7 linked regions of the Oryctolagus cuniculus genome follow. The protein of the gene in region 1 interacts with the protein of each later gene in a pairwise test. Links are inferred from orthologs where the notes say so. Each region holds a gene or a part of one and is shown on either strand. Other genes may lie near its edges. The genes, in order: MEOX2, zinc finger protein 124, SHFL, SYT17, HAT1, EMD and TRIM41.

The links.
Region 2: the proteins of MEOX2 (region 1) and zinc finger protein 124 interact in binary tests that used the Homo sapiens proteins (3 or more experiments, as listed by UniProt). The two-hybrid records come from large-scale screens. The link is inferred for Oryctolagus cuniculus from reciprocal best matches to the Homo sapiens genes MEOX2 and ZNF124.
Region 3: the proteins of MEOX2 (region 1) and SHFL interact in binary tests that used the Homo sapiens proteins (3 or more experiments, as listed by UniProt). The two-hybrid records come from large-scale screens. The link is inferred for Oryctolagus cuniculus from reciprocal best matches to the Homo sapiens genes MEOX2 and SHFL.
Region 4: the proteins of MEOX2 (region 1) and SYT17 interact in binary tests that used the Homo sapiens proteins (3 or more experiments, as listed by UniProt). The two-hybrid records come from large-scale screens. The link is inferred for Oryctolagus cuniculus from reciprocal best matches to the Homo sapiens genes MEOX2 and SYT17.
Region 5: the proteins of MEOX2 (region 1) and HAT1 interact in binary tests that used the Homo sapiens proteins (3 or more experiments, as listed by UniProt). The two-hybrid records come from large-scale screens. The link is inferred for Oryctolagus cuniculus from reciprocal best matches to the Homo sapiens genes MEOX2 and HAT1.
Region 6: the proteins of MEOX2 (region 1) and EMD interact in binary tests that used the Homo sapiens proteins (3 or more experiments, as listed by UniProt). The two-hybrid records come from large-scale screens. The link is inferred for Oryctolagus cuniculus from reciprocal best matches to the Homo sapiens genes MEOX2 and EMD.
Region 7: the proteins of MEOX2 (region 1) and TRIM41 interact in binary tests that used the Homo sapiens proteins (3 or more experiments, as listed by UniProt). The two-hybrid records come from large-scale screens. The link is inferred for Oryctolagus cuniculus from reciprocal best matches to the Homo sapiens genes MEOX2 and TRIM41.

The regions. Positions count from the first base shown.
Region 1 is NC_091447.1:7,289,496-7,293,944, reverse strand, and holds the start of MEOX2 (homeobox protein MOX-2), read left to right. Parts: upstream 1-1,569; 5' UTR 1,570-1,857; coding exon 1,858-2,371; intron 2,372-4,449. UniProt on the Homo sapiens protein: Mesodermal transcription factor that plays a key role in somitogenesis and somitogenesis and limb muscle differentiation. Required during limb development for normal appendicular muscle formation and for the normal regulation of myogenic genes.
Region 2 is NC_091447.1:64,590,443-64,593,901, reverse strand, and holds part of zinc finger protein 124, read left to right. Parts: intron 1-26; coding exon 27-87; intron 88-634; coding exon 635-1,445; 3' UTR 1,446-3,459. UniProt on the Homo sapiens protein: May be involved in transcriptional regulation.
Region 3 is NC_091447.1:67,206,140-67,210,527, reverse strand, and holds the start of SHFL (shiftless antiviral inhibitor of ribosomal frameshifting protein), read left to right. Parts: upstream 1-1,451; 5' UTR 1,452-1,735; coding exon 1,736-1,756; intron 1,757-2,252; coding exon 2,253-2,376; intron 2,377-2,505; coding exon 2,506-2,555; intron 2,556-3,768; coding exon 3,769-3,807; intron 3,808-3,907; coding exon 3,908-4,057; intron 4,058-4,388.
Region 4 is NC_091450.1:21,228,140-21,231,934, forward strand, and holds part of SYT17 (synaptotagmin-17), read right to left. Parts: intron 2,528-3,795; coding exon 2,407-2,527; intron 868-2,406; coding exon 712-867; intron 1-711. UniProt on the Homo sapiens protein: Plays a role in dendrite formation by melanocytes.
Region 5 is NC_091434.1:69,121,374-69,125,168, reverse strand, and holds the end of HAT1 (histone acetyltransferase type B catalytic subunit), read left to right. Parts: intron 1-3,155; coding exon 3,156-3,323; 3' UTR 3,324-3,605; downstream 3,606-3,795. UniProt on the Homo sapiens protein: Histone acetyltransferase that plays a role in different biological processes including cell cycle progression, glucose metabolism, histone production or DNA damage repair. Coordinates histone production and acetylation via H4 promoter binding.
Region 6 is NC_091453.1:132,603,746-132,608,291, forward strand, and holds EMD (emerin), read left to right. Parts: upstream 1-1,758; coding exon 1,759-1,840; intron 1,841-1,994; coding exon 1,995-2,102; intron 2,103-2,245; coding exon 2,246-2,323; intron 2,324-2,535; coding exon 2,536-2,669; intron 2,670-3,584; coding exon 3,585-3,631; intron 3,632-3,710; coding exon 3,711-4,032; downstream 4,033-4,546. UniProt on the Homo sapiens protein: Stabilizes and promotes the formation of a nuclear actin cortical network. Stimulates actin polymerization in vitro by binding and stabilizing the pointed end of growing filaments. Inhibits beta-catenin activity by preventing its accumulation in the nucleus.
Region 7 is NC_091445.1:34,924,522-34,928,316, forward strand, and holds part of TRIM41 (E3 ubiquitin-protein ligase TRIM41), read left to right. Parts: intron 1-2,118; coding exon 2,119-2,349; intron 2,350-2,888; coding exon 2,889-2,911; intron 2,912-3,104; coding exon 3,105-3,232; intron 3,233-3,633; coding exon 3,634-3,795.

The sequences.
Region 1 (4,449 bases):
ATTTCCCTCCAAATAGGGCTCCATTTCCGTTCAAGCCAGCAGTGCTCACACGTCTCCCAATTCCCCATCAAACCCCCGCTGCACCCCACCTCCAGGCCGCGGAAACGGATTCCATCTTTCCCGCGGATGCCAGGGTTCTCGCCAAGCTGCGGCGCTGCGGCTCCCCTCCAAAGGACCGCGGGGACGGGCAGGGGCCCGAGGGTCCTGCCCGTCCGTCGGGGACACCGCCCAGAGATGGCTCAGTACTCGCCCCTAATTCGAACCAGATGTCCAGCCCCGTCTGCTGTGCCCATTAATCTCAGGAACAACTTCAAAGACCTGGTCCCCATCCTCGGGACACCTGAGACAATGAAAATAACGGGGCAACACCGCTGGTGGCACGGCCGGGAGCAGTGAGGGCACGCGCGCTCCTGACGGCACCGGCCCAGCTGGGAGCCGGCTGCCCCGCGGCCCGGTGCGCCCCCGGGACAGAGCCAGCGGCCCGCATGCGCTCAGGGACTCCAAACTTATGCTTTCCTGTTTGCGGGATGCAAACCCGAAACGCCCAAGCGCCGATGGCACGCATCAGAGTGTTCGGTTTCCCAATCAGTGGCACCATAGCGCAGTGAGGAGGAGTGTGTGGAAGGAGCTGGTTTGTGTGGGAGCGGGAGAGAGGCGGTGGGGTTCTGGAGGAAAATCAAGGGCCCTGGGTTGCCTCCTGGGGGAGGAGGGGGCGAGGCTGGGAGCACGCGTGCAAATCCGCACGTGGCATGTGACAGGGACAAACTCTCTTCAGAATCTTCCCGGCCCAGGACAGCTTGCTCTAGATGGACTGGTGGCTGGGAAATGGAGTGGGACCAGTTTCGCTGTGACGGTCAGGGGGCGGGACGCCAAGGCAGGGCACCAGTAGGCGGCTCACGTCGGGATGCCTGGGCGCGGGCTTCCGCGCACTTTCCGCCGGCTCACCGCACCCAGTCCCGGTCCATTCGGTCTCGAGCGCTGCCCACTTGCGGGTCGCGCTGCGCAACTCCGCACCTGGACCCTACCCCAGAGCCCGGTGCCCGGCCGGCGCACACACCTCGGCGGCAAAAAGCCGGGCGCGCCTTGTGCCCCGGGGCGCACGCAGCGAGCGAAGTCTGAGAAACTTCTCGCAGCGTGCGCTAGACTTGGCTCTGCTCTGCCCTTTTCAGCCGCGCTCACTCCCCCAGGGGTTGGGCGCACCCCTAAGCTTTCCTGCGGGTGACAGTTTCCAAATGGCACTGACAAGTCATGGTGCGCGGGTAGGGGCTGGGGGGTGGGTGCGGAGCCGGGACTGGCGGGATCCCGGCGCCTGGTGCGCGGCTTGCAGCCCGGGGCTGCTGGCAGGGCCGGGCGGGCGGGGACACGCGGAAGGACTGTCCAGCCGGCAGTGGGAAGCGGGGCTGGGAGCGCGGGGCGCAGACTGAGCGGGCGCGCTGGAGGAGCTCGCATGTGGTCAGCGCCAGGCTCCTAAGCCAGCCCCCGGCTCACGTTACACTCTATTTATAACCTCCCAGAGCCCTTCCTCCCCCCCCCACCCCACCCCCCAGGCGTATAGTTCTCTGGGACCACCTTCTTTTGGCTTCGACCGCTCCCACTCTTGACATCCGAGTCGCTCGGAGGGAAGCTCCTCTGGGTCCCAGTGTTTATATGTGAAGGAGACCGGCCCGAGGGTTTAGGACAGGGATTACACGAGCGCTGCCGGAAAGCCCGCGCGGCTCTGGCCTGGGGACACAGGGGCGGCGTAGGGTGCGGGGGAAGCCACACGATTGCCACGGAGAAGCGCCCGCAGGCTGGTGGTGCCAGCGTTGGTGCGGTCGTCTTGAAGTCTTCCCGCCTGGAGCCCGCGACTTGCATGCTATGGAACACCCGCTCTTTGGCTGCCTGCGCAGCCCGCACGCCACGGCGCAAGGCTTGCACCCGTTCTCTCAGTCGTCGCTCGCCCTGCACGGGAGATCCGACCACATGTCCTACCCGGAGCTCTCCACTTCGTCGTCCTCGTGCATCATCGCGGGATACCCCAACGAAGAGGGCATGTTCGCCAGCCAGCACCACCGGGGCCACCACCACCACCACCATCACCACCACCACCACCACCAGCAGCAACAGCACCAGGCGCTGCAAACCAACTGGCACCTCCCGCAGATGTCCTCCCCGCCCAGCGCGGCGCGCCACAGCCTCTGCCTGCAGCCGGACTCCGGAGGGCCCCCGGAACTGGGCAGCAGCCCGCCGGTCCTGTGCTCCAACTCCTCCAGCCTGGGCTCCAGCACCCCGACTGGGGCCGCTTGCGCGCCGGGGGACTACGGTCGTCAGACGCTGTCACCCGCGGAGGTGGAGAAGCGAAGCGGGGGCAAGAGGAAAAGCGACAGCTCAGGTAAGGTGCGCGCCAAGGACCCTCGGCCGGAGTGCAGACGCAGCTGGGTCGGGCCAGGGCGGCAGTTTGCAAGCGCTGGAGGCTGCAGCGGGGCACAGCAAAAGCTGGGGCAGTGTCCAGCCCGCGCAGGTTTGGGAGATGCGGCTGTGGTCCCAGTTACTTGGGGGGGCGAGGGGAGTGTTACCCTTGTGCGCAACCTACACGCAGCCAGCAGCGGCAGCTCTAGGCTTCCCAAGGTCCCAAACTACTTCTCCAGAAGTTTGAGACCAAAGGGGAGCGAGTGACAGTTTGTGAAATCGATTGCGCGGCGTGACGGCCGGGCGCGGCGCCGGGAGGGGCGTGCGCCTGGGGATGCGTGTCCGTGGGGCGGGCGTGCGGGTGCGGCTCCCGGACTTCTGCCTCGCATGTTCCCGACTCCGAATGGCTCGCTTTTTCCCATCGTTAACTGGCTTTCCAAATCGTTGCACAATATTTGGAACCTTGGAATGGAACTTGGCAGAGCGTATGAGAAAAAAAAAAAGTTTTAGGTTATTTATTTATTTATTCTGGATTTCAGGATTCCTTAAATAGCAACCTATTCTAAATGGTAAATGCTTCCCTTTCTTGGGAAAGGAAGATAGTGTCTAAGAAGTTTTTTTTTTTTTTTTTTTTTTTTTTTTAAGGAGCATGTCAGAAATTTTTAAACAAATAGATGACGAAAAGTATTGGAGAAAGACGATTGTTAGGAGTAGTTAGTAGTATTCGTATGATACCAATGCAAAGGGAGAATCGAAGAGGTTTCAGGGTGGAAGATCAACTCCTCTCTCAATGAGTGCAATACGACAAAAACTGGGAATCCAAGGGCAGGTCCAGTGCTGTCTGCTCAAAGTGATACGCGCAACGGGGCACCCACCAGGCGTTCGTCTGCGTGCCCGGAACCTAACAGCCCTGGGAGCGCCGGAACGCGCAGCTTGCCCGGGAAATCTAACCACAGAGGCAGGTCTGCAAAGCCCTTACCTGCCTGCATTGTGATGAAATTGTTCAGAGGATTTTTCACTGAAGGGGAGTTGTGACCCTGGGTTCCTTCGTGTTTTAGGAAGATGTCATTTGCGCAATAGAACACTTAGCGTGTGTTTCTTTTGCGAAATTGATGTCTATAGTCCCAGAAGATAATCTCAGCCGTGGGTTGAAAGAGTTGGCAGATGTCTATCTCCTGTAAAGCTTTAGGCCACATAAAGGACGCAGATGGAAATGAGCGTTGGAATTGCTTTGCAGCGATGCTACCGATCTTTCTTCAGTTTAGCCTGCGCTGGATTTCTTTCGACTTTTACTTTCCAGGGTCAGGGGTGGACCATTAATGCCCCATCACAAATTAGTTAATATCTAAGAAAGTTACTAGCGATGTCACTCATTTTTAATGGGTTTTACTAACTACAAATGAAACTCTCTTAAGACCAGTTGAAAGGTTAATCCCAGCAAGAAGGTTTTCATCTTCATTATTTAAAGATAAATAAATAAACAAGGGCCAGTTTTAGACAGCAATGGCCCTTGCACAGACTGGGCGCTGGATATCAGTGTTGGTGTGGAAGCGGTGGCAGTTCAGGCGGTTCGGGCTGATGAGAACATCCTTCTAGAACTAGAAGCTCTGAGTGAGCGGCCCTTCTCACTCTCCGCGGGAGAAGCCGGATGATGGGCTCCCTCCTCAGGCGTCCTGACTCAGCCCAGTACCCCTGAGTGTCTTAGGGCAAATCCGAATTTCATAGGGCAAGTGTGATTTTGTTTGGGACAGATAGAGAAAGTGGAATACAAGAACTGATGCCCACGAATTGTTTCAATGAAACTTAAAAAAAAAAAAAATTGGCCTCCTTTAATGCTCCTTAGCTCCTCTCTCATGGATGAGAAATTAGCCATATAACAAAGTAAAATTCATTTTTACATGTTGAAGCTGATATTTAGGGTCCATGAAAAGCAAGTTTGTGTCAGCCGCATAAAGTATTGATAGATTACAGCTTGAGTGGGAAATACACTCAGCCATCACCAAGGATAAAATCATTGGGGACTTTAGATGAGGGTTTTCTTTGATGGTACGTTCTGGAAGA
Region 2 (3,459 bases), about 57 Mb from region 1:
AAGATGTTTCTTCTCCTGCACTTTAGGAATAATACAGGACGACCATAACATTGGAAATGAGTACAGGAATCCTAGGAGAAATCTAAGGTAATTTATATTCACAAGCAGAAACAATATTCTGTAAGAAGAGAGTCTCAAAATGTCAAGAAATGTTTAAAAAAGCAACAAAATGAGCAAAATTTCCCCTTTAATTATTACAGAATATCCTCAGTTTGTGTGCTTGCATGTGGTATAGATGCTCCTGTTTTAAACTGAGTTGGAAACAGTATTAAGCAACCCCATGTGAACATCGCTGTTTGCATAATATCCGTGGTTGGGCCATTTTGGCAGAGATACATTGAGACGCCAGCAGTGCAGGAGCACAAAGGCTCCATTTGGCCTGATCCTGTTGACAATGTAAAACCAGTACCTGTTAGTAAATATAAGATCATTAGTACAGAAATCCTTCATAATAAGCTGCTTTCTATCCAGCTATGATGCAGTAAAGAGACTGGGAAAGTAAGGAAGGTGGTCAATGTGGTGAAGCCTTCGGACATATTCTGCATTATGTTATGCAGAAAAGCCCTTGTGCCTTAAGACCTTATAACAGCAGTGTGTGTGATGAGGTGGTGAACAGCCATTTCTCTCTTCATAGGCATGTCATATCAGACTCTGGAAACAAACCATATAGGGATCAGAAAAACAGAGGGAAACCCTATGAATGTGAACAGTGTGATAGCATCTTCAGGTCTCACAGATCCTTGAGACATCACAAAAGGACTCACACTGGGGAGAAGCCGTATGGATGTGTGCAGCGTGGGGAAGCCTTCAGTAGTAACAGTTCCTTGCGAAGACATGAAAGAACTCACACTGGAGACAGGCCCTATGAATGTGATGAATGTGGGAAAACATTCACATGGTTAAGAAGCCTTCAGAGACACAGGAGAGCGCACAGTGGAGATAGACCTTATCAATGTAAGGTGTGTGGCAAAACCTTTTGTTACAGCAATTCATTTCACATCCATGAGAGGACTCACACTGGGGAGAAGCCCTATGGGTGTAGCAAATGTGGGAAAGCCTTGAGTACTTACAGTTCCTTGCAGGTACATGAGAGGACTCACTCTGGAGAGAAACCCTATGAATGTAAGCAGTGTGGGAAAGCCTTTAGTTCTTCCAGTTCTGTTCGAGTACATGAGAGGTCTCACTCTGGAGAGAAGCCCTATGAATGTAAGCAGTGTGGGAAAGCCTTCAGTTGTTCCAGTTCCCTTCGAGTTCACAAAAAGACGCACACTGGAGAAAAGCCCTATGAGTGTGGAAGATGTGGGAAACCTTTAAGTACTCAGCAGTCCTTACAGATGCATGAAAGGACTCACACTGGAGAGAAACCCTATGAATGTGGCAAGTGTGGGAAGGCCTTCAGTTGTTCCAGTTCCGTTCGAAGACATGAAAGGACTCATTGCAAATAAACGCTGTGAATGTGAGAAATGCAGGAAGGCATTCAGTCAGTCCAGTTACTTTGTTACATGAAAAAAAAATCACACTGCAGAGAAACCCTGTGAATGTAAGGGTTTTGGGACAGCATTCTCATTTCCCAGTTCCTTGTATAGACACAGAACTCAGAGTGACTATGTGTGTAAAAATGTGTTAAAGTCCTGTTTCCTTCATTAATACATGAACAATAAACACTGAACAGGTGAACATTCTGTTTCACTTCCTTTCCAAAGTGCTAAATATATCAGATTCAAGAGAAACACTGCATAATAAGTTTGCAAATGCCTTCAAGATCACACAACCTTTCTAGCCCACATGAGAGAACATAGTGGAGAGATTCCATGTAAACATAAATCTGGTGTTGTGCAACAGGCTAAGCTGCTGCCTGCAACACAAGCATCCTGTATTGGAGTGCCTGTTGTCCTGCATGGCTGCTCTGCTTTTAATCCAACTCCTTGATGATGTACCTGGGAAAGTAATGGAAGGCAGCCCAACTCCTTGAGCCCATGCAACCCACATGGGAGACCGCAGTGGAGTTGGTCTTATAAATATGGACCAGCCTTGGTGATTGGGACTCTTTGGGGAGTCAAGCAAGGGATGGAAGATCACTATGTTTCACCCTGCCTTTCAAATAAACAATAATTTTTTAAAGGGTGTCAGAAAAATTTTAGCTCTACAAGCTCAAATGAAACCATGCGTATGGACAATGTGGAAAAATCTTCAGTTGGGGGCTAGTATAGTGGAATAGTGGGTAAGGCCACCGCCTGTAACACCAGCATCCCATATGGCACTGGTTCAAGTCCTGGCTGCTCCTACTAATGTGCCTGAGAAAGCAGTGGAGGATGGCCCGCGTTCTTGGGCCCCTGCACCCACGTGGGAGACCTTGAGGAAGCTCCTGGCTCCTGGCTTCAGCCTAGCCCAGCTCTGGCCATTGCAACCATGTGGGGAGTAAACCGGTAGATGGAAGACCTCTCTATCCTCTCCCTGTAACTGTGACTTTCAAAAAAAAATAAATATCAATGGATGATATTCATATGATGATATGTAGAACAAACAAACTGGGCAGTGGAATATTTCCCTAAATAGACCAAGAGCAATAGAGCCTAAGTTTAATTAGGTAGTGTTTTTCTTTTCTCAGTGAAACTTTTCTCATTCTATTTTGAGTGTGTTAGGGCCATGGGTGGATGGAATGTAGTTGTAACTGTAGTTTTCACATTAGTTTTTCGATGATCCTATGACTAATGGAGCTACTGAAAAATTAACTGTGTCTTGAGAACTCAATGCAAATGAAAAAAGAGAAGAGGGAAAATTAATTTGTTAAATGTTGAGATTTGTTATTGGCCTCAAGTGACAGGCTTTGGAAACCACTTCCCCATTATGAATTTCTTCCTCTTCCTCATGGAGAAAAAAACTTTTGTGAAAAGTTTAACCTATCTTCTGTGCTAAAAAGTAATTGTCATTAGTCTTGGTATGTCATGCAATATAATCTCATGTGAATTATTTTCTTAGATTGCCCTCTAGTCTGTCATCTTTCTAATTGATCCTTGGCTAATTCACTTGGAATTTAGTACAGAGCATGTTAAAATCTAGATTCGGAGATGTGTTTCCTTGATTAAGTGATGTGAATATGAAACCAACCTTTCCAGGATTTGCTTTGTAATGCCACATTAAAATTCATCAAGTAACCTAAGTTCCATGATACTTGGAAGACAGAGCGAATATTACTCACGATTTGGAGGTGCCACTTACAGAGATAACTAAATGGACAGTGTGCGGACACTTCCAATCCATTTTCCTGATTCTTCAGCTTACCAATCAGGAGTGTTCCCACAACTGTCAGTGCTTACTGGGCTTCCATTTTTTCTCATAGTTGTGTTAGTGCAAATGTCCCCAGAGGCTCCACATCATCAAAGATACATCCCTGGGTTGGATTTTCCTGTGAGCCCTGTTGTATCAGGTAGTCAGATCAAGGTTGGGAGTGTTTTCTGA
Region 3 (4,388 bases), about 60 Mb from region 1:
GGAGGGTCACCATACCCCCGAGAGGAATGCCAAAAAAAAAAAAATTATTATTACAGAGGTCTTCCATCTGCTGATTCACTTCCCAGATACCTGCAGCAGCCAGGGCTGGGCCAGGCAGAAGCCAAGAGCTGGGAACTCCATCCGAGTCTCCCTCGTGGGTGACAGGGGCGTGCCTGTTGTAGGATTGATGAATCCTATGGTAGGCATATTTTTAACTTAATAATTGATTTTATTTATTTGAAAGACAGAGATCTCCCATGCGCTGGTTCCCTCCCCAAATGCCTACAACATCCAACACTGGACCAGACCAAAACCAGGAGCCAGGAGCTCCCTCCAGGTCTCCCCCAGAGGTGTTAGGAGCCCCGTGCACCTGCCATCTCCTGGTGCCTCCCAGGGTGCGCATCAGCAGGGCACTGGAGTCGGGAGCTGGGATTCAAACCCTGGCACTCGAAGATGGGATGCCAGCGTCCCAGGCGGCAGCAAAACCTCTGTGCCCAACACCGCCCTGTGTTCCAGCAGTGTCCGGAGGCCACTTCTGAGGAGGGCCACGACTCCGGTGGCATCTAGGGCATGGGGGCCGGGGACAGATCCCCATCGCAAAGAGCTACTGGCCCAAAGTGTCCGCAGCTCTGTGCAGGCGGCTGAGAAAACGCAGTTGCTTCTTTCACCTGACTCCATCCTCACCAGCTATGACCTCAAACTTCTGGGGCTCTGTCCAAGCAGGAGATGATGTCCCCAGGCCGAGGGTCCCAGCTAAAGGCTCCCCAGGCCCCTCTGCTGGGGCCCCATGGGCCCCTCAACCGCCCGATTGAGAATGCAGATTCCAAAGCAAGCATTTGGCTTGAGAGGGTTAACGGGACACATGAGAGGCCTGCATGGCATGAGCTGAACTCCTGGGCTCTGATCCAGGTCCCAGTTCCCACTATAGCACAGCCCTGGGAGGCAGCAGGTGGTGGCTCAAGCACTTGGGTCCCTGCCACCCACGTGGGAGACCCGGATTGAGATGCCTGCTCCTGGCTTCGGCCTGACCCAGGCATTTAGGGAGTCCACCAGCAAATGGGAATGCACTCTCTCTCTTTATCTCTGCCAGCCAAATAAATAAAACTTTTAAAAAATAAAATGCACATTTCTAAAGCGCCCCCCAAAAGCTGGGGCCCATCACCCTGTGTTTTTCACAAGCACCTATGGATCATTCCCATTTTACAGAGCGATAAACTGAGGATCAGAAACGTCACAGTGGCCTGTCAGGAACTCAACAGCAGGGGAGGAGGGACCCCCCCCCACAAACCCCCCCAGGTCCTAACAAGCGCCCGGTCCGTGGGAGCGCACGCGGGGAGTGGGGGGCGCGGGGACCCGCCGCTGCCTTCGGAGGCGGCCCCGCCCCCACGGGGGACGTGAAGACGCGGCCCCCGCGCAGCGTGGGGACATGTGACCGACTGCAGAGGCCGCGCCGCCTCCCCCGCCCGAGGTGCGCGCGCCCCGCCGCAGGGCGCAGACCCCGCGCGCCCGCCTGGGTTTGGGGCGCAAGTGCAGAGGCGGAGCCGGGGCGGAGCCAGCGCACCCGTTCCCCACTTCGGAACCGAAAGCGAAACACCGGGCCCGGGCAGAAGGGCGGAGCCGGCCGCGAGACCCCGCCCCCTGCCCTGCGCGGCGGCCGGACCGACGGGCGCGCCCAGCGAGGAGGGCGGCTGAGCCACGCAGTGCGGACCCTCGCGGGGACCTGCGCGCCACCACCATGTCTCAGGAAGGTGTGGAGGTAGGCGATGGCCACGGCCGCGAGCCGAGGGGCCCGCGGCAGGCGCCGAGGGGGGCCCGGGGGCGCCGAGGGGGCTCCGCAGTTCCTGGGGGACCCCCATCCGCATCCCATCCCATGCTCAGGGCGAGCGCCCGGGCCCCCTCGGAGAGGAGCGCGCCGCTCACGTCCCCCGCCTCCGGAGCGAAGCGCGGCCTCCCCCCGAGGAGAAGCGGGGGCTGCGGGGTCAGGGGTCAGACCCAGGCCTTACCTGTGCGCCCCGCCCGCAGGCTGGGACCCGCGCCCGCCATCCGCTCCCACCCCCAGACCCTGTAGGGACTTGGGGGTTGTGCAGGAAATGTCGTGGAGAGATGGTGGGAAGGGGGGAGGGGGCGGAGGCCAAAACCAAGGCTAAAGTTCAGGCCCCAGGAATGTTACCTGGAGTTGGGGGAGGGGCGGCGGCTCGTCCCTCCCCCCCCCACCGGAGCCCACCTGTCCCCCCCCCCCCCCCCCGTCCCAGTTGGAGAAGAGCGTCCGGCGCCTCCGGGAGAAGTTTCATGGGAAGGTGTCGCCCAAGAAGGCCGGGGCTCTGATGAGGAAATTCGGCAGCGACCACACCGGCGTGGGTCGCTCCATCGTGTACGGTGAGCGCGCGGGGGTCCCCGGCCGGCGCCGAGGGGGCGTGGCGCGGGAGGGCCCAGCCGCGGGAGGGTCTAGCCGCGGGAGGGTCTGGGCGGCGCAGGCCGCTCAGGGGCCCTGTCTTATCCCGCCAGGGGTAAAGCAGAAGGACGGACAGGAGCTCAGTAATGACCTGGACGCGCAGGTAACCTGTCCCCTGGCCTCCAAGGTCGGGGTACCGGGCGGGAGAGCCGGGGGGACCCTCTGGAGCGAGCAGGGCTGGCCACACACAGCACCTTCCTCAATCATCGGCTGGGCCAGGGAGCCTGCAAACAGTAGGTGCTCATTAAGTGCTGATTGTGTTCCATGGAGCGGAGCGGACGCCGCCATTGGTGCCAGGGAGCCCAGGAAGTCAGGGAAGACTCCCTGGAGGAGGTGATGCAAAGCCTTGACAGGGAGGAGTGAGCCCTGGAATGGAAAAGCAGGGGAGGGGGTGACAGGTAGCATAGGCTGGGAGAGAAGAGGGGGAACTGACCCCAGAAGAGGCGGGAAGGGGGAAGCGGCTAGGGCGTCCTTGTGTTGAACGAATGAATGAGTGATGACTGGCTTTGTGTGGGAATGGCTGGATCTCACCTACCTGGAGATAAAGTGCGCATCCTAATCTTTATAGGCATAAAGCATGTGATAGAAATAATCACAGAGGGTAATCATTGACCCGGCACTTCCCCGAGGGGCCAGGTTCCAGGAACTGACTTGTTTGATCACCACACGAGCCAGGACCCATTATTGATCAGCCCATTTTACAGACCAGTACTGAGGCACGGTGGTGAAGTCATGCTTTCTCCAGGGGCCCCGGGGGGACGAGTGGTTTGCCCACGTTCTCACAGCCGGAAGTGCCAAAGCCAGGACTTGAACCTGTGTCTGTTCAAATCCAGAGCCCCAAGCACTAGCCGAAAGCGACGGGGCCTCAAATAGGTGGCGAGCTGGTGTTTAGCGCGAGGCGGAATGCCTGGTTGGAGTCCGGCTCCGCCTCTTCCGGTCCAGCTTCCTGCCATGGGCACGCTGGGAGGCGACAGGGATGGTTGAAGAGCTTGGGCCCCTACCGCCCACATGGGAGACCCCGATGGAGCTCCAGGCTCCCTGCTTCGGCCTGGCCCAGCCCTGGCTTTTGCGGGCGTTAGGATGATCTCGGGCAAGCCCTCCCCTGCCTCTGGGCCTCAGTTTCCCCATATGAGCAATGGCGAGAACAGGTGCGCCCACCTGTCGGGGCTAACGGAATGGCTAAGGGAAGCCATGTACCTGCTCCTTGCTGGCTGTGCACCTGCTCTGAGCTCTGGGAGGCCCCTCCCCCAGCAAAGGCGGGTAAAGGGGAGACCCGAGTGCCTGCCCCAGTTTCTGCCCCTGGCGTCTCCACGCAGGACCCCCCAGAGGACATGAAGCAGGACCGAGACATCCAGGTGAGTTGGCAGCTGGGCAGGGGGACCCGTGTGGGGGTGGCGGCAGACGTGTGCAAGGCAGAGGACGGTGACCCCTGTCCCCACCCTGCCCGTCCCGCAGGCCGTGGCCACCTCCCTCCTGCCGCTGACGGAGGCCAACCTGCGCATGTTCCAGCGGGCCCAGGATGACCTAATCCCTGCCGTGGACAGGCAGTTCGCCTGTTCCTCCTGCGACCACGTCTGGTGGCGCCGTGTGCCCCAGCGGAAGGAGGTGACCGCCTAAAACTTGACCTTGGTTTCTGTCCTGAACGCCACTCCTGACCCCTGACCTCTGACCTCCGAGCTTGACCCGCATCCCACCGGCTGACCTGCAGCTGCACTTCTGACCTCCGACCCCGCTGGTTGCGAATTGAACTTGACTCCAAAGCCACAACCCTAAATGTGGCGTCCAGGTTCCCCTGGGAGAAAGCAGGGGGGACGGGGAGATGGGGGAAGCTGACGTTTGTGCGCTGGCCGGTGACTGTGGCACAGACGTCCCCACCAGTGGCCAGTGTCAGGCTGCCAAGGTCAAGTCAGTGACCTTGACCCCTGTGTGCGCCCCC
Region 4 (3,795 bases), on another chromosome or scaffold:
CTTTTTTTTTTTTTTTTTTTTTTTTTTTTTTTTTTTGACAGGCAGAGTGGACAGTGAGAGAGAGAGACAGAGAGAAAGGTCTTCCTTTGCCGTTGGTTCACCCTCCAATGGCCGCCGCGGCCGGCGCGCTGCGGCCGGCGCACCGCATCGATCCGATGGCAGGAGCCAGGAGCCAGGTGCTTTTCCTGGTCTCCCATGGGGTGCAGGGCCCAAGCACCTGGGCCATCCTCCACTGCACTCCCGGGCCACAGCAGAGGGCTGGCCTGGAAGAGGGGCAACCGGGACAGAATCCGGCGCCCCGACCGGGACTAGAACCCGGTGTGCCGGCGCCGCTAGGCGGAGGATTAGCCTAGTGAGCCGCGGCGCCGGCCGATCATTTCCTCTTTACAACACGTCTGTGCCACAAGGACTATTATTGTCCACATTTTACAGATAAGGAAACTGAGGCTCAGGTGAGTTTAGAACTTGCCTTCAGTTACTACACAGCCGTGCCAGGAAATCTGGCTTCAGGGCCCACATTCGTCACAATTACGTTGCACGGTTCTGCGACTCTCACCCAAGTTCACAGATGGCCACTGGATTCAAATCCAGACAGCTGAACACCAGCCATGAAGCTCTCAAATACAAGGCTCTCTCCAGAGGCCCTTTGTCTTGAGGCCGCCTTCTGTCTCTACGACGTGCCTCCCCCAGGGCTCCTGGCACGCCACCTACCTGTAAACACTAGGCTGGCGTTTTCCAGTTCTTCCTGGGGCACTTTGAAGCTGAAGGATTCATTGTAGAAGGGATCGATTGTGCCTCTTAAGAAGGAGGTCTTCTTGGTTTTCACAAGCTTGAGTCCATGCACCAGCTGGATTTTCACAAAGGGGTCTGAAAATCGGACAAAGCATCACAGAACACCATCAGACGCAAATAATTTGTTCAGCCTCCATCCATCCTTTCAACTTTTCATCCATCTCTCAGTCCATGCACCCATCCACTGATCCACCATCCATCCACGACCCACCATCCATCCATGATCCACCATCCATCCATGATCCACCATCCCTCCATGATCACCATCCATCCTTTAGGTGACAGATCCACCTCATCAGTCCATCCATTGAGTCACTGATCCACCCACCCATCCATCCATCAGTCCAAGCAGCCACTCCTCCTCTCATTGATTCATTCCCCCATCTATCCGTCTACTACTCATTCATCATTTTCTCATCCATCTGCTTATCCATTCATCCCTTTCTCTGTTCCTTCAGCCATCTGATACTTATGGAACTGCTCCCATCTGTTAGGTGCTGTGTTCACCGTACAGATGAGAAAGCTGAAGACTCAAGATGAGAAATGATTTGCTTAAGATCTGCCTGATGGAGGCAACACCAGGTGGAGAGGCTGTCCCAGCTACCTGAGGACTCCCATTATCACGTCAGTGAGCCCATCTACAGGAGAATGGAGATGGTATAGTTATAACTATCATTCTTCAATCACGCTATAATGGGATTCCTGGACTTTATCCACTTTAGCATCTGTTTAAACAAACCAACGAGATGAATATTATTAATGTGTCCATTTCTGAGATGGCAAAGTTGAGGCACAGGGAGGCATCCTGGGGTAAAATAACTTCTCTAAGGCCACATTATTTGCAAGCTGTGAAACTGAGATTTTGTTCCAGGCAGGCTGACATCAGAAGCCTTAATCATTTTATCAAACTGACTCCTCTATTGTGGCGCGTCTGGAATTCTCCAGCCTCGATACATTCCTGCCAGTGGTCCCTCGGAAACCTCTATTTTTGTAATGTGGCTTTTGAGACTGTGAGGTATCTTCTAGCTTCAGCTGTCACCTTATAGAAAAGTAATTTATTTTTGCTATTGTACTTAGAAAAGGCAGCAGAGGGGATCCAGGGACCATGGCTGCTTTCACAACAATATCTCCAGATGGAACGGAATCTGCTCTGTTTCATTAAAAGTCACGTTGGAATTGGTTTTTCTATAAAGCAGACACTAAATACAACAGTCATTTCAGAGCTAGGATTTACAAAGGTTCATGGCACATATGAAGTGGGCTGTGAACAAACCTCCAGGCTTGTGTGTGGGCCTCCATGCCGTCTCTGCACACTATCGCCACCTAGAGCACACTGTCTTTATTGCAGGCACAGTGTTTGGAAAGGCAAAAGGAACTTCCTCCGACTCTAGGTTCTTGGTAGCACACCTGGTCCCAGTCAACCTCACCAATTCAAACCGGGTTCCTGCTTCACCCTAAGAATCACCTAAGGACTTATTTTCTCTCTTGAGCCGGCAGCCTAGTTCTGGATGCTGTGCACCACCCAAGGTATCATCAGTGGTACCCAGGATGCAGTCCACTGAACACACGCAGGTGCCCCATTCACGACGTGGAGGGCAGGGGATGGCACTGTACCTGACCCTTGGCTCACATCCGTCTGAAGAAGCTGCTTGGCTCGAATGACATCAACATTCAGTCGCCCAGCACTCGGGAGGTAATTCAGAGACAGGAGCAGCTCCCCCAGCTCCACCTCGTTCTGCGGGGAGAGGAGATGTTCAGGAACAACTTTTCCTGTTCTTTTGTGCCCTCTGTACCCCTCGTGCAGCTCACAAATGAACAGCTGGTAGGGAGATCAGCTGACAGTGGGTGCCTCCTCTTCTTCTTTTAGCCTCTGCCTCCAATTATCTTCATCCATCTAGCTCAGAAAGTTTTTTCTGCTCTTACAATGTTTAACAGCAACAGCCAAAGCAGCCGTAATAAAAAAATAAGTGCAATATGCCATGTTCTATGCTAAGTACTTGATATGTGATTGATTAATTTAATCTTCATATTAAGTATTAACCCCATTTAACAGGCAAGAAAACTAAGCTCAGAATGCTTTAAATAACATGTCCAAGGTCATCCATCTGGAAAGAGGCAGAGCTGGCCATTGGCGCCAGTGAGGCTGACTCCAGGTGCTCAGACCACTATGCTGTGGGATCCCCAGCAGGCGGAACACCCTGCAAAGTCAGTCTCTGGGTAAGAACTCTGTTCTCGACACACAGCCCACGACAGAGCCTACGCTTCTAGCCCGTCATGGCAGGACTTGTTGGAAAGCACTGACCAAGGCCCCTGATGTCAACACTCCCACGCTTGCAGAAAATCCACACGAGCACAAGTGCACGACTCCACACTGCCAAGTTCCTAGACAAGAGCAGCTGCCCTCCCTACCATCTGCTCCTTTTCAAAAAATGATTGAAATTATACAGATTTGCCAGCGTAACATCTCCCCACATCGCCGTCACTCAGCTGTGAGCATTATCACCATTTTGCCCAACGATGTTTCACACATACCTGTATTTGTAAAAAAAAATGTTGGCCGAATATTTAAAAATAGGTTCTAAACGTGATGTCAGTTTTGTTTGAGTCCCGGCTGCTCTGATTCCATTCCAGCTCCCTGCTAATGTGCCAGGGTAAATCAGTAAAAGATGACCTAAGTCCTTGGGCCTCCGACACTCACATGGGAGACCAGGATGGAGTTTCTGGGCTCCTGGCTTCAGTATGGCCCAGCCCTGGCCATTGTGGCCATTTGGAGTGAATAGGCAGATGGAAAATCTTTCTATTACTCTGCCTTTCAAGTAAATAAATAAATCTTTAAAAAATATCTTACATAGAACATACAGTCAGCCCTCCCTCTCTGCAGGTTCTGCATCCACAAACACCAAGCACCACAGATTCAAAGCATTTGAAGAAGAAATCACACCCATACTGAACAAGTGCAGACCGGTTGTCTTGCCATCTTTCCCTAAACAATAAGTGTAACAA
Region 5 (3,795 bases), on another chromosome or scaffold:
TAAAAATAAATAAATAAATAGGCTAACCAACCACCAGTTTAAGTATACTTAGCTTAATATAGTTTCTCTCCCTCTAAGAATCTGTTTGGCTATAAATTGACAGTACCTTTCCCTTCCTTTAAACACTGATAATTTATTTGTTTAAGTGCTAAAAAAAGAAGGCAAAACAGCCTTTGTTAACTAGAATCATTTAAAAAGAGACTCTATATGTAGTACAGAATTAATCTTCAGGTGTTCAAAAATGGTAAGTCTGAAAAAGGTGGCTAAAAAGAAATTGATACAACTGCTTGGTTTTTAGCATTGAAACCTTTGTTTCACAGGCATATATTAATTAATAATTGGTTTATAGGTAGAGAATCTATAATTCTTGTTACAATGTCATTGGATTTGGAATCAGGAAACCCAGTGTTGGGGTCTGGTTCTGGCAGGACAAGTTACTAACATCTGGGAATTTGGCTTCCTTTCCACAACATGGGAATGCTTCCCTACTGAGGAAGTGAACTCACTAGGGAGGCTTTTCATTTCCATAGTGTGTATGTCTTCAAAGAAGTCTTGTAAAACGTCTTGGAAAGTCTTGGGAATTTATATGCCTCAACACCATTTTTATTTCAATAAATTCTTACAAAAGAACCTGTCTACACTGTACTTCACAAAAGGGAATGTTCAACAGTTAGAAGTTAAGGAGATCTTAGGAATGATGTCATTTTTAAAAATATATTTATAAGCCTTTTTGGAATCTGAAAACTAGCCAAGAAGTTTTATTTTCTGGAAATGAATTCATATTCAGGTCAGATTTAATATAAATAAAGTGACTTCAATACCATTTTAAATTTGCATTAATTGCATAGTGTCAACAGCACTACTGTATGAAACAGAAGTTTTTGTTTGTATTGGGAAAAGAATTATTTTCAAGACTAAAGAAAGTCTCCAGCCATTCTAATATGAAAGTTCTCTTCCAGGGTGCACTTGTGCTCCCAGGTGTTAATGCTGAATAGAGGTCTTCTGCAAATGAGCTTAAGTTCTTTTTTTAAAATAAATGTTTTAAAAAGTTAATTTATAATACATCACATGTGGACAAAACAGAATATGTAGTTTAGGGACTATAAAAAGTTAATGAAACAATTACAATTTATACACAGGATCAATTTTTCTTTGTAGTGTCAGCTTATTTCAATATAAGCTTACTTCTAGTACTTTACTGTACCTTGCTTTAGAAATGTTTAATTTTAAGCTTTTTAAATGATGATCATGACAGATTTGCCTGGTTTTCTAAAATTATTAGGGCCCCTAGTAAGATGCATTTGTTAATTTTTATGATAGTTTAAGGTATTTTTTTAAGATTTTTCTTTTTTACTTGTCTCTTGAAAGGCATTTTAACACAAAAACTAATATTTGGACTCCCCACTGGACTGTCAGGGTTTGAATCCTGGTTTCTCAGCTTGCTAGCTAGCTCTGTGAGCTTGGGCGAGTTACTTAATTCCTGTCTCCTTTTTGTTCTCCATCTAATACCTATCTCAGCACTATTAGGATTATATGAGTTAACGTATGTGACTTCTAATATCTGTGAAGTCGGCTCTTTATTATATGCTCCAGTAAAACAGAATTGATATTTTAATCTAGAGCAGATTATCTTTTTTTTAAAAAAGATTTATTTATTTACTTGAAAGGCAGAGTTACAGAGAGAGAGAGAGAGAGAGAGAGAGAGGTCTTCCATCCATTGGTTCACTCCCCATTTGGTCACAGTGGCCGGAGCTGCGCTGATCCGAAGCTAGGAGCCAGGAGCTTCTTCCAGGTCTCCCACGTTGGGCTGTCTTCCACTGCTTTCCTAGGCCATAGGAGAGAGCTGGATAGGAAGTGGAGCAGCCAGGACTCGAACCAGCACCCATATGGGATGCCAGCACTGCAGGCGGCAGCTTTACCCACTACACCACAGCGCAGGCCCCATAGAGCAGATTATCTTAAAGCATGACAATTTCATGTATTGCAGTGTTGCCACTACCAGGAATCTTGTTGTTTGTTTTTCATCATTCTTCCTCCTGTCACCCAGTACTTTATCCTGTAGATCTGCCCTGCACTCTCCATGTCTGCTGCTACTAAGAGTTTTATCACCCCTGGCTTGAACTACAGCAGTAGCTGCTACCTCAGTTGTCCAGTCCTCTTACGAGTATCACTGACACAGTATGTTCTAACATGGTGTCCTGCATAAAGTTGTTACCAGCTCCGTTTTGCACATGCCTCAGCACAGCAGTATACTTCTCAGAATCATGGGGAGAGCTTCATAATACATTTGGTGCAGCAGTTAAAACTTAAGCTGATTAGGGCACTCATGTACCATATTGGGGTACTTGGGTACAGTGGCCACTTCCATTCCTGGCTCTGGCTTTCTGCTAATGGAGACTGGGCGAGGGTAGGGGAGCAGGCAGTGAAGGCTCAAGGTTCCTGCTGCCTATGTGGGGGAGACCTGGATTGAGTTTCCAGTTCTCTCCTTGGCCTTGAACCCAGCCCAGCTCGTGCAGGCATTTGGGGAGTGAAATCATTGGAGCATCTTCCCCTTCTGTCTGTTTTTTAAAAATAACATATATCTGGAACTTAGTACTGAGATTCACTGAATGCTAATTGACATATTTTAAAATCTGACCGATTTTCATTTATCTAAAACTTTTCCACAGTTTTCCAATAGTTCCAAAATGTTAAAGTTAGTATATGGTCCATAAATACGTCTCTGGGTAGGACAAACTAGAAATGAGCATAGTGGCAAGAAAAAAGGCCAGATTTGAATTAAAAATGAACATAATCAATCAGTGTTAGAATAGTGAAGTAAAAAATAATGGCACTTAATATTGGTTACCTTTCTTCAGTTAATGTGTTTTATTCATTAAAATAGTTTGAGTGTCTATACAGGACAGAATTCTTGACTATGCTTTGGAGGGGGCTACTAGTTACTGTGTCGGCGTCACTTAAAACAATTTTAAGTGATTTTAAAGGGTTGCAATTCATGGTTAACATTATGTTTAGGCTTCCTTAAGAAATGTATAGGACAACTTTGACTACATTTCCGTTGTTCTTATTTTTAACACTGGAGACTTAAAATGTAAGGTTATAAATATGTATAACTGCTTTCTTTGTCTAACAAATAAATTGTGTTTGTTGCTTAGAAAAAGCAGAGAGATCTTGCTAAGATGAGAAAATGTCTCAGACCAGAAGAACTGACAAACCAGATGAACCAAATAGAAATAAGCATGCAACATGAACAGCTGGAAGAAAGCTTTCAGGAACTAGTGGAAGATTACCGGCGTGTTATTGAACGACTTGCTCAAGAGTAAAGATTATACTACTATGTACAGGAAGCTTGCAAATTTCTGTACATTGTGCTGTGAAAAATCTGATGATGACTTTAATTTTAAAATCTAGTAACATTTACTTACATTAAAAGTTGTCTATCTTTAGTTGAATATTTTCTTTTGGAGAGATTGTATATTTTAAAATACTGTCTAGAGTTTATGAGCATATATTACATTTAAGAAAAAAGATATAGCTTCTGAAATATCACTGCAGTTGCTTACCTTCTTAAACAGTATAATAAATGCTTAGTTGTGATACGTTAATGTGTGTTAAGATTCTTAAATACTTAGGATAAACTTTGTCTTGTTCAAAATCTTAGATTTTATGCTTTTAATATCATGCCTCCCATAATTTGTTTCTGAGATTTTTATATGACACCTTTACAATACATTAAGAAAACTCATCCTAGTAATTTATTTTTCCTATATTTTTCTAAATAGGAAATGTTCCTGG
Region 6 (4,546 bases), on another chromosome or scaffold:
AGGCAGGTGCCCTGGGGAGGGGGGGTGTTACTTAGGGAGAAGGCAAACCTAGAATTCCTTGACCTCATAAGGAAAGAGCTGGGATCCCAATGGGGAGGGGTGGTGGCGGAAGGGGGGGAACTGAGCAAGCACTCTGTACACACAGGCCTCCGGGAGAGGGGCCAGCACTGCAGAAGAAGGCTTGGAGAGGTGCTGGGCAAGCGGGCCTTGGCCAAAACTAAAAACTCCAGGAGGCAGCTTCATAGCTGCAAATAGTTCAAACTGTCATCTCTCCTGCCTTTTCCTGCCATGCACACTGTCTTTGGGAATGCACACAACTTCTCCCACATTGCTAGGAACAGACTGGGCCAGGTCTTTATTCTAGAATCTGGCAAACGGAAACCCCTCTTCCTTAGGGTTTTTGTCTACGGTCAAAGGGCCTCGTCTCTTCCACATTCTTCCCTGGTCTGTCTGTCCCCATTCTGTGTGAGCAATCTTCCTCAGAGAACTGGCCTGTGACCATCACCAGTTTGGGCCCTTCAGCCTGGAGCTGATCAGAGCCCTCGCACTTTCTTGTCACCAGCTAACATCTGTGAGGCCAGGACGGCACCTCATCTCTTCATGCACCCACTTCTGTCACTTCCTTTCGACTCCCCAAGGGGACAGCCCTCTTCTGATTAAGACCCTTGCCAACCCAGCCACAGTACAGGAACCTGAGCAAGCCTTGGCAGTCTCTCACGGCTCACCAGGCTCCTCTGCCCCTGCCCGGCCCCCTCCTGGTCACTGGGCTCAGGGCCATTCCGACTGGAGCCCCCTTCCCTTCCACCCAGTACCCCGGGTTGACAGTAGGGTGGGCTGGGAGGGCACACTCCCTCTCCGAAGCGCGCTCTGCCCGTGCCCGCTGGAACGGCCCGCCGGGCCCCTTCGAAGGCTGTTTGCTCCAGGAGTGCCCGCGTCCTCCTGGCCCAGTGCCCCATTTCCTCCCGGGTGGAGGGCGGGAGGAGCAAGGGAAGGAGGGAGGGAGGCGATGGGAACCGATGGGCGCAGGTGCGCAGGCGAGGGCCGGTGCAGGTCAGCGAGGCCGGCCTGGGCCAGGGGGTCCGCGTAGCGCACCCAAAGCGTAGACAGCAGTGGCTGGCCCGAGAGCGGCGCTGTGCAAAGGGTGGCTCCTTCCCGCTGCTGCGGGAGAACCCTCGGCCTGGGATCCCGGGAAAAGGGGGACGACGAGTGCAGGCGCAGGGATGTGGCAAGAGTCAACCGGCCCGAACCACCGCAAAGACACCCACGCCGCCGGCTCCCTAGCTCCCACGTTCTGGCCGGTTTCTACCGGTTCGGGTCGCATAGGCTCCGCCCCTCCCGCGAGTCTAGCTCAGAAGCGCCTGCGTGTGACGTCTTGGCGTGCCCGTCCAGCCCCTTTTCTCGAGCGTGCAGCCCCGCCCACTCCCACGGCCTGAGTAGTCTGAGCCACTTTGGCTCCCACACAGGCCCCGCCCCTCTTCCGCCACAAACCAATCTCGCACGTTTTTGAAATACGAGCTCGCCAGGCCCGCCCCGCCCGCTCCCACAGCTAGACCGGTCCGTGCCGGCTCCTCCTTGTGGTTTGGCTCCGCCCCGCGCAGCGCGCGCAGCCTGCGGAGCCCGCGGCCATGACGGGAGCGTGACGCAGACGTGACGCAAGCGCGGCCGCTCCCGAGCCCTGCGAGGCAGTGGTGTTGCTTGGCCTGTGTCGCCAGGCCCGGGCTGCCCCCAGCCCTTCGCCACCTGCCGGCCGCGCCCGCGATGGACGACTACGCGGTCCTGTCGGACACCGAGCTGGCCGCCGTGCTGCGCCAGTACAACATTCCGCACGGGCCAGTCGTGGGTACGCGGGAGCGGGCGGGACGCCTCCCGGGACTCGCTCTCCCGCGCGCCGTCTCGCAGCCCCCCGGTACCCCCCGCCTGCGTCCCCTACCCAGATTCCCTCCCTGGGCTCGCAGCCCACGACCCTGACCGCCCCGCGCCCGCTGTCTGGTCAGGCTCCACTCGCAAGCTCTACGAAAAGAAAATCTTCGAGTACGAGACCCAGAGGCGGAGGCTCTCCCCACCCAACTCGTCTGCTTCCTCGTTCTCCTATCGGTTCTCGGGTGAGCAGCTGGCTGCCGGTGGTGACAGGGAGGGTGGGATTTCGAGGGTGTGGCGTGGGGGGTGGGTTGCTAGCCGAGAGAGGCACTGCGAAGAAGGGAGGGAAGCCTGGGGGAAAATGGTCTCGTCCCCCCCCTCAATTCAGACTTGGATTCGGCATCTGTGGACTCGGATAAGTACGACCTGCCCAAGAAAGAGGACGCCTTACTTTACCAGAGCAAGGGTAAGGCAAGGAATTGACACCCTTAACACCATCACCCCAACACCTTCACCCACCCTGTCCCGGACCGTGGGCGTAGGGAAAACCTGAGGCCTCGACTCCCCACCAGCCTCAGCGACCTGAGAGGGGCCCCAAAAACGCTGTTTAAATAAGGGTCCCTGGAGCAGCTGGGGAACACGGGTCTGCCCTCTGCTACCAGTGCTCCCTTTTTCAAGGCTATAATGATGACTACTACGAGGAGAGTTACTTGAGCACCAGGACTTACGGGGAGCCCGAGTCTGTGGGCACATCCAAAGGCTTCCGGCAACCCGGGACTTCGCTTTCTGATGCTGACACCTCCCACCACCAGGTGAGCTGCCGTCGGGCACCTCATATCCGGGGGCAGCTTGAAGGGATGACAGCTGGGTTTGGGTAAATCCCAGCATCACTGGGTACAAATGCTAGCTCCTAGGTTTCCAGAGAGAGTTAGGATGAGTTAGGACTTTGCTACGGGGCGTGTCAAGAGTATTTGACTAGAGCACACAGGATGTGGCCTGCACCCTGGTCAGGATCTGAAGTTCCAACTCAGAATCCAGGGGGAGAAAAGAGGGTTCTGGGGTCAGTGCTGTGGCACAGCAGGTTAAGCTACCGCCTGCAGTGCCAGCATCCCATGTGCATCCAGGTTGGAGTCCTGGCTGCTCCACTTCTGATCCAGCTCCCTGCTACTGTGCCTGGGAAAGCAGTGGGGGATGGTGTGAGTACTTGGGCTCCTGCCACTCCCATGGGAGACCTGGATGGAATTCCAGGCTCCTGGCTTCAGCCTGGCTCAGCCCTGGCCATTGTGGCCATTTGGGGAGTTAACCAACAGGTGGAAGATCTCTCCCTCTCTAACTCTGCCTTTCAAATAAATAAGTAGAATCTTAAAAAAAAAAATGTTTATTTTCATCTGCTTGAAACCAGAGCAACAGGAAGACAAAAAGAGAAAGTGAGGTCTTCCATCCCCTGGTTAATGTCCTAAATGCCCAGGATGGGGGCCATGGCAAAGCCAGGAGCCCAGAACTCCATCTAGGTTTTCCACAGGGGTAGCAGGGGACCAGAAGCAAACCAGCCAAAACTTGAACTGGCACTCCGTATGGGATATGGGCACCCTAACTGGCAACCAAACCTGCCACGCCACAATGCCTGCCCTGTCTGGCCTTTAAGCAATGGTTAGAGTGGGCTGAGTAATACGACAGGCTGTGCTGACCCTGCTGGCCAGTCCCGTCACCTCGATTCTGGTCTGCAGGTGCGCAGTGACCATCTTTTCTCTTCTGAAGAGGAGGACAAGGACAGGTGAGTAGTGGGAAGGCCCTGGGAGCAGTGATTCTGGGCCTAGCTCTCCTGGCTCACCTGCTCCCCTCTTTTGCATTAGGGAACGCTCCACATATGGCCGTGACAGTGCCTACCAGAGCATCGCACACTACCGCCCTGTTTCCAACGTCTCCAGGAGTTCCTTGGGCCTGTCCTATTACCCTGCATCCTCCTCTTCTGTGGCCTCTTCGCCTTCTCCATCATGGCTCGCCCGCCGTGCCATCCGACCAGAAAAGCAGGCCCCTGCAGCTGGTCTGGGTCAGGACCGCCAGGTCCCACTCTGGGGCCAGCTGCTGCTTTTCCTGGTCTTTGCTGCCTTCCTGCTCTTTGTTTACTATTCCTTGCAGGCAGAGGAAGGCAACCCCTTCTGGATGGATCCCTGAGGGTCTTGATTTCAGAGCCAGCTCTTTGAAGTCCTGGCTGTCTGCCTTAGTGCAGTGTGTGCTGGGGGTGGGGGTGGGGGCTTTTCTGTGTGTTCTAGCTTTGGGGGCTGGGCCTAGCCCTGAGCAGTGCTTGCTCCCCCTGCCTGCTCCCACCAGGGAGGCAGCAGACTCGGGCCCTTCACGTTCTGGTAGGCCTGGGCGTGCCTTCCTCTGGAGCCTCCTGGCCCTGCTTGCCTCTGACCCTTAGGGCCTGGGAGGGCAAGACTTCACTCCTTCAGAGATGTTGTCATGTGCTCATGCATGCCTCCTGTTCGTTGTCACCTTTTTGAGGTTAACCAAGGGCCACCTCGACTTTGTTTTCGTGGACGCAATAAAGACCGTTTATTTTTAATGTGTTGGCTCTTCCTGCTGGGGGAGAGGCTGGCTGCCATGCTTTGGGGTCTCTGGGTCTTAAGGTTTTTTAAGGATTGTCACCTGGCTTTATTGATTCTGTGGTTTTGCTTTGGTCTTGGCA
Region 7 (3,795 bases), on another chromosome or scaffold:
TTCTCTATTCCACACTGCCAAGCCTTCTATGTTGGATAGACACGGAGCAGAAAGGAACAAAGCAAAACCCATGCAGCAACCACCAGATAAGTCCAGGTCCCAGGGTAGATGCAGGTGGTAGCCACAACGGCCCTGAACATGAGGGAGATGTCGTCCTGGGAAACTTACTTCTGGGAGGGGGCCGGTGTGTTTAAGGGAGAAGAATTAGCATAGCAGAGACCAAATATCTCCTAGTACAGTGTTAATGAGCTCTTTTCATTATTGCTCACTCTTCCCCAAGGGGTCTTTTTAGATAATTTCCCCCTAATTCCTACCTCATACCTCCTGCCTGTTTTTGTACGGCCAGCAGGTCCTGCTGGTATGAGCTGACACTGTGAGCTTCAGAAACCATCCCAAGACACTCCTTTCTGTCCCTTTTCCTCTCTCCTTCCCAAAACCTTTCTTTCTGGCCAGTGCCTGGGCCTTGACCACTTCAGGGTCTATGCTCATCACTGCTCATTAGGAACTCTTGCTGGCAACTGGGAAGCACTGAATGATGAAATGTATAACTAGGAGTCAGAGCGATATTAACTCTGGCCAGCTGCCCAAATTGATATTTCAGGTTCTCCAGGGTACAGAAAAGATGTGCTAGAGATCTGAATGTCATTGGGGCAAAGAGTGAACCTTCCTATGTGCCTTACCCACTTTACCAGCCAGAATTCTCCCACTCTGGCCTGTTACTTTTTTTTTTTTTTAAAGTTTATTTATTTATTTGAAAGGCAGAGACAGAACAATCTTCTCTCTGCTAGTTCACTCCCCAAATGCCCCAACAGCTGGGGGTAGGCCAGGCTGAAGTCAGGAGCTGGAAACTCCATCTGGGTTTTCTACATGGGTGGCAAGGGTCCAACCAACTGGGCCACCATTTACTGCCTTCCTAGGTGCAGTAGCAAGAAACTGATTCAAAAGTGGAACAGTCAGAACTCAAAACTGGGAACTCAAACATAGGATGCAAGAATCCCATGTGACTTAACCTAATCCCTGGCCTTTTATCCAGAGAATGTCTTCAGCTGATGGTAACTAGGTGAAAAATATACCTACCTCTATAGTTTAAGCCTACTGCAGAGCTAAAATATGTAGGGGAAAAAAAAGTGTGGCTGCACAGACTTTGTTTTCTCTGCCATTATTCTCTAACAATACAGTATCTGTTTACATAAAATCTGCATTGTATTGGTAATTGGAAATAATCTACAGATGATTTAAAATATGTAGGAAAATATGTGTGGGTTATATGCAAGTACTAATATAAGTGAAATTTTATTTTCCAAGGAGAGTCCTCAAATCAGTTCCCTGTAGTAAGATTCAAAATGGAGCCCCATGGGGCTTCAGATATTCCCACCCAAGTGCCTTCTCTGTGGTCAGGACTCTGCCAAGGTCTGAGGAAGCAATGGCAAAGACAAACCCAGTCCCTCCCTCTAGGGGCTTAGGGTATATTGGGGAAAAGAATATAAAAAGATACTTCATTGTAAACATAGCATTTCAAATATTGTATATACCACGAAGAAGTTATGGTATTTATGGAAGTAGTCTTGATTGAGATCTGAATAATAGAAAGCTTCTCTCAAAATATGTAAGCTTAGACTTCAAGGATGAGTCATATTAGGTACACAGTGTAGAGATAAGTATTCCAAGCAGAGGTTGGTGAGTATAGAATGAGGATGCCAAAAGTGTGGGGGTGGTACATGGTAAGGCTAAGGGGTGGAGAGGGAGACAGGGGCCTCTTTTTACTACCATATCTTTTTATTTTTGAATTTGAATGGCAGAGAGACAGAATGATCTTCTGTCTGCTTGTTCATGCCCCAAATACCTGCATGATCAGAGTTAAGGCAATGCAGAAGCTGGGAGACCAGAACTCAGTCTGGTTCTTTCCTGTAGATGGCAGGGACCCAAATACCTGAGCCATCTTCCCAGGGCACAAGTTAGTATAAAGCTGGATCTAAAGTGGACTCAAACCAGGCACTCTGATATGGGATGCGATTATCCCAAATGGCGACTTAACTGCTGTGCTGGTCACCCATCCCATAACTCAACGTTTCTCTTTATGTTGAATTGATACCCACCCCTCCCTTTGCACTGTTCCAGAGCCAGATGAAGTTAGAGCTTGCAGCTGTGGCTTCAGAGTTTGGGCGGTTGACACGGTTTCTGGCTGAAGAGCAGGCAGGGCTGGAGCGGCGCCTCCGAGAGATGCATGAAGCCCAGTTGGGGCGTGCGGGAGCTGCAGCCAGCCGCCTCTCAGAGCAGGCCACCCAGCTGAGCCGTTTGCTGGCTGAGGCTCAGGAACGGAGTCAGCAGGGTGGTCTACGGCTGCTTCAGGTGAGCAGCATTTCCCTTCTCTACTCCCAGTTTCCCAAGCACCCTATTTGCCCTGTCAGATAGTGCTTACCAAATATTGTCCAGAGCTGCCTGTTTTCTCACTGGGAGTATACCACAGTGTTTCAACCTGAAGACCAAAACAGTCTTGAGACTGGAGGCAGAACTAATGTTGAATGAGGTATCTGTGACTATTACACGATTATAGCCATTGAAAAAAAAGTAAAATTTGTTAGGAGGAATGTAATGAGAGCTCAGGAATGAACTTTTGACAGTGACATCCTGAAAAAGGTGACCAAGACATATTATAAATTCTGTTTATTAGTAGGCTTATAGCAGGATGGGTGAGGTTTGGGTATGGTGAGGAATGGTGGTGGCTGAGTTGAAACATGTTTATTTAGGGCTTTAAGGGTGCTGCTTCTCCGTTGTTCAAGTTAGGTTGTTTCTAGCTGAAGACTGGGAAAAAGGAGCGATCTCTGTGCAGCTGACATTCTCTTTGTCTTTTTTCTCCCTCTCCCTTTTTTTGTTTCTTTTATTCCCAGGACATCAAGGAGACTTTCAGTAGGTGTGTTCCCACCCGGTACCCTTTGTGACCCAGTACCATCCAGTCCCCATCATTGCCTCTTTGGGGTGGCTCTCTCCTTCCTTCCCAATGACCTGAGTTTCTACCGCCTGGCCCACTGTCTCCTTTCCCTCACTTCTGCTCTTCCCTCTTGGAATATCATGGTCCCACCCCCTGCCCGGTCCCCTTCCTCCAGGTGTGAAGAGGTACAGCTGCAACCACCAGAGATCTGGTCCCCTGATCTGTGCCAACCCCATAGCCATGATTTCCTGACAGATGCCATTGTGAGGAAAATGAGCCGAATGTTCTGTCAGGCTGCAAGAGGTAAGAATGTCACTTTGCCTTTCATTTCTGGGTTCTGAGGGATATTGGGCTGCAGGGGAAGTATGGGGGTCTGAGATGGAGGATGCAAGTAGGTCCTGTGAGCTTTTAAGCCAATAGTAGTTTCTGTTCTAGCCCAGGTATGTTTTGAGGTCCGATAGGGTGGTGAGAGCTAGGCAGAAGGGAACACCTGTCAGGTATCCTGGGGACAAGAGTAAGGAAAGAAGTGGACCCAGGGAACCGGAGCCTAGCCTCTAGGGAACTGAAGTTCCCTGAGTTTAGGGAACTGAAAAGAAGAGGTGGGGGCAGTAGGGGAGCAGCAGGGAAGGCTGAGCCTATGGAGTTGGCTACTGTTGGGGAACAGTTGTTCTAGCTTGAATATATTTGTCCTCTCCCCTCCCAAGTGGACCTGACACTGGACCCTGACACAGCTCATCCGGCCTTGATGTTGTCCCCTGATCGCCGTGGTGTCCGCCTGGCAGAAAGGCGGCAGGAGGTTGTTGACCATCCCAAGCGCTTCTCAGCTGACTGCTGTGTACTGGGGGCCCAGGGCTTCCGCTCTGGCC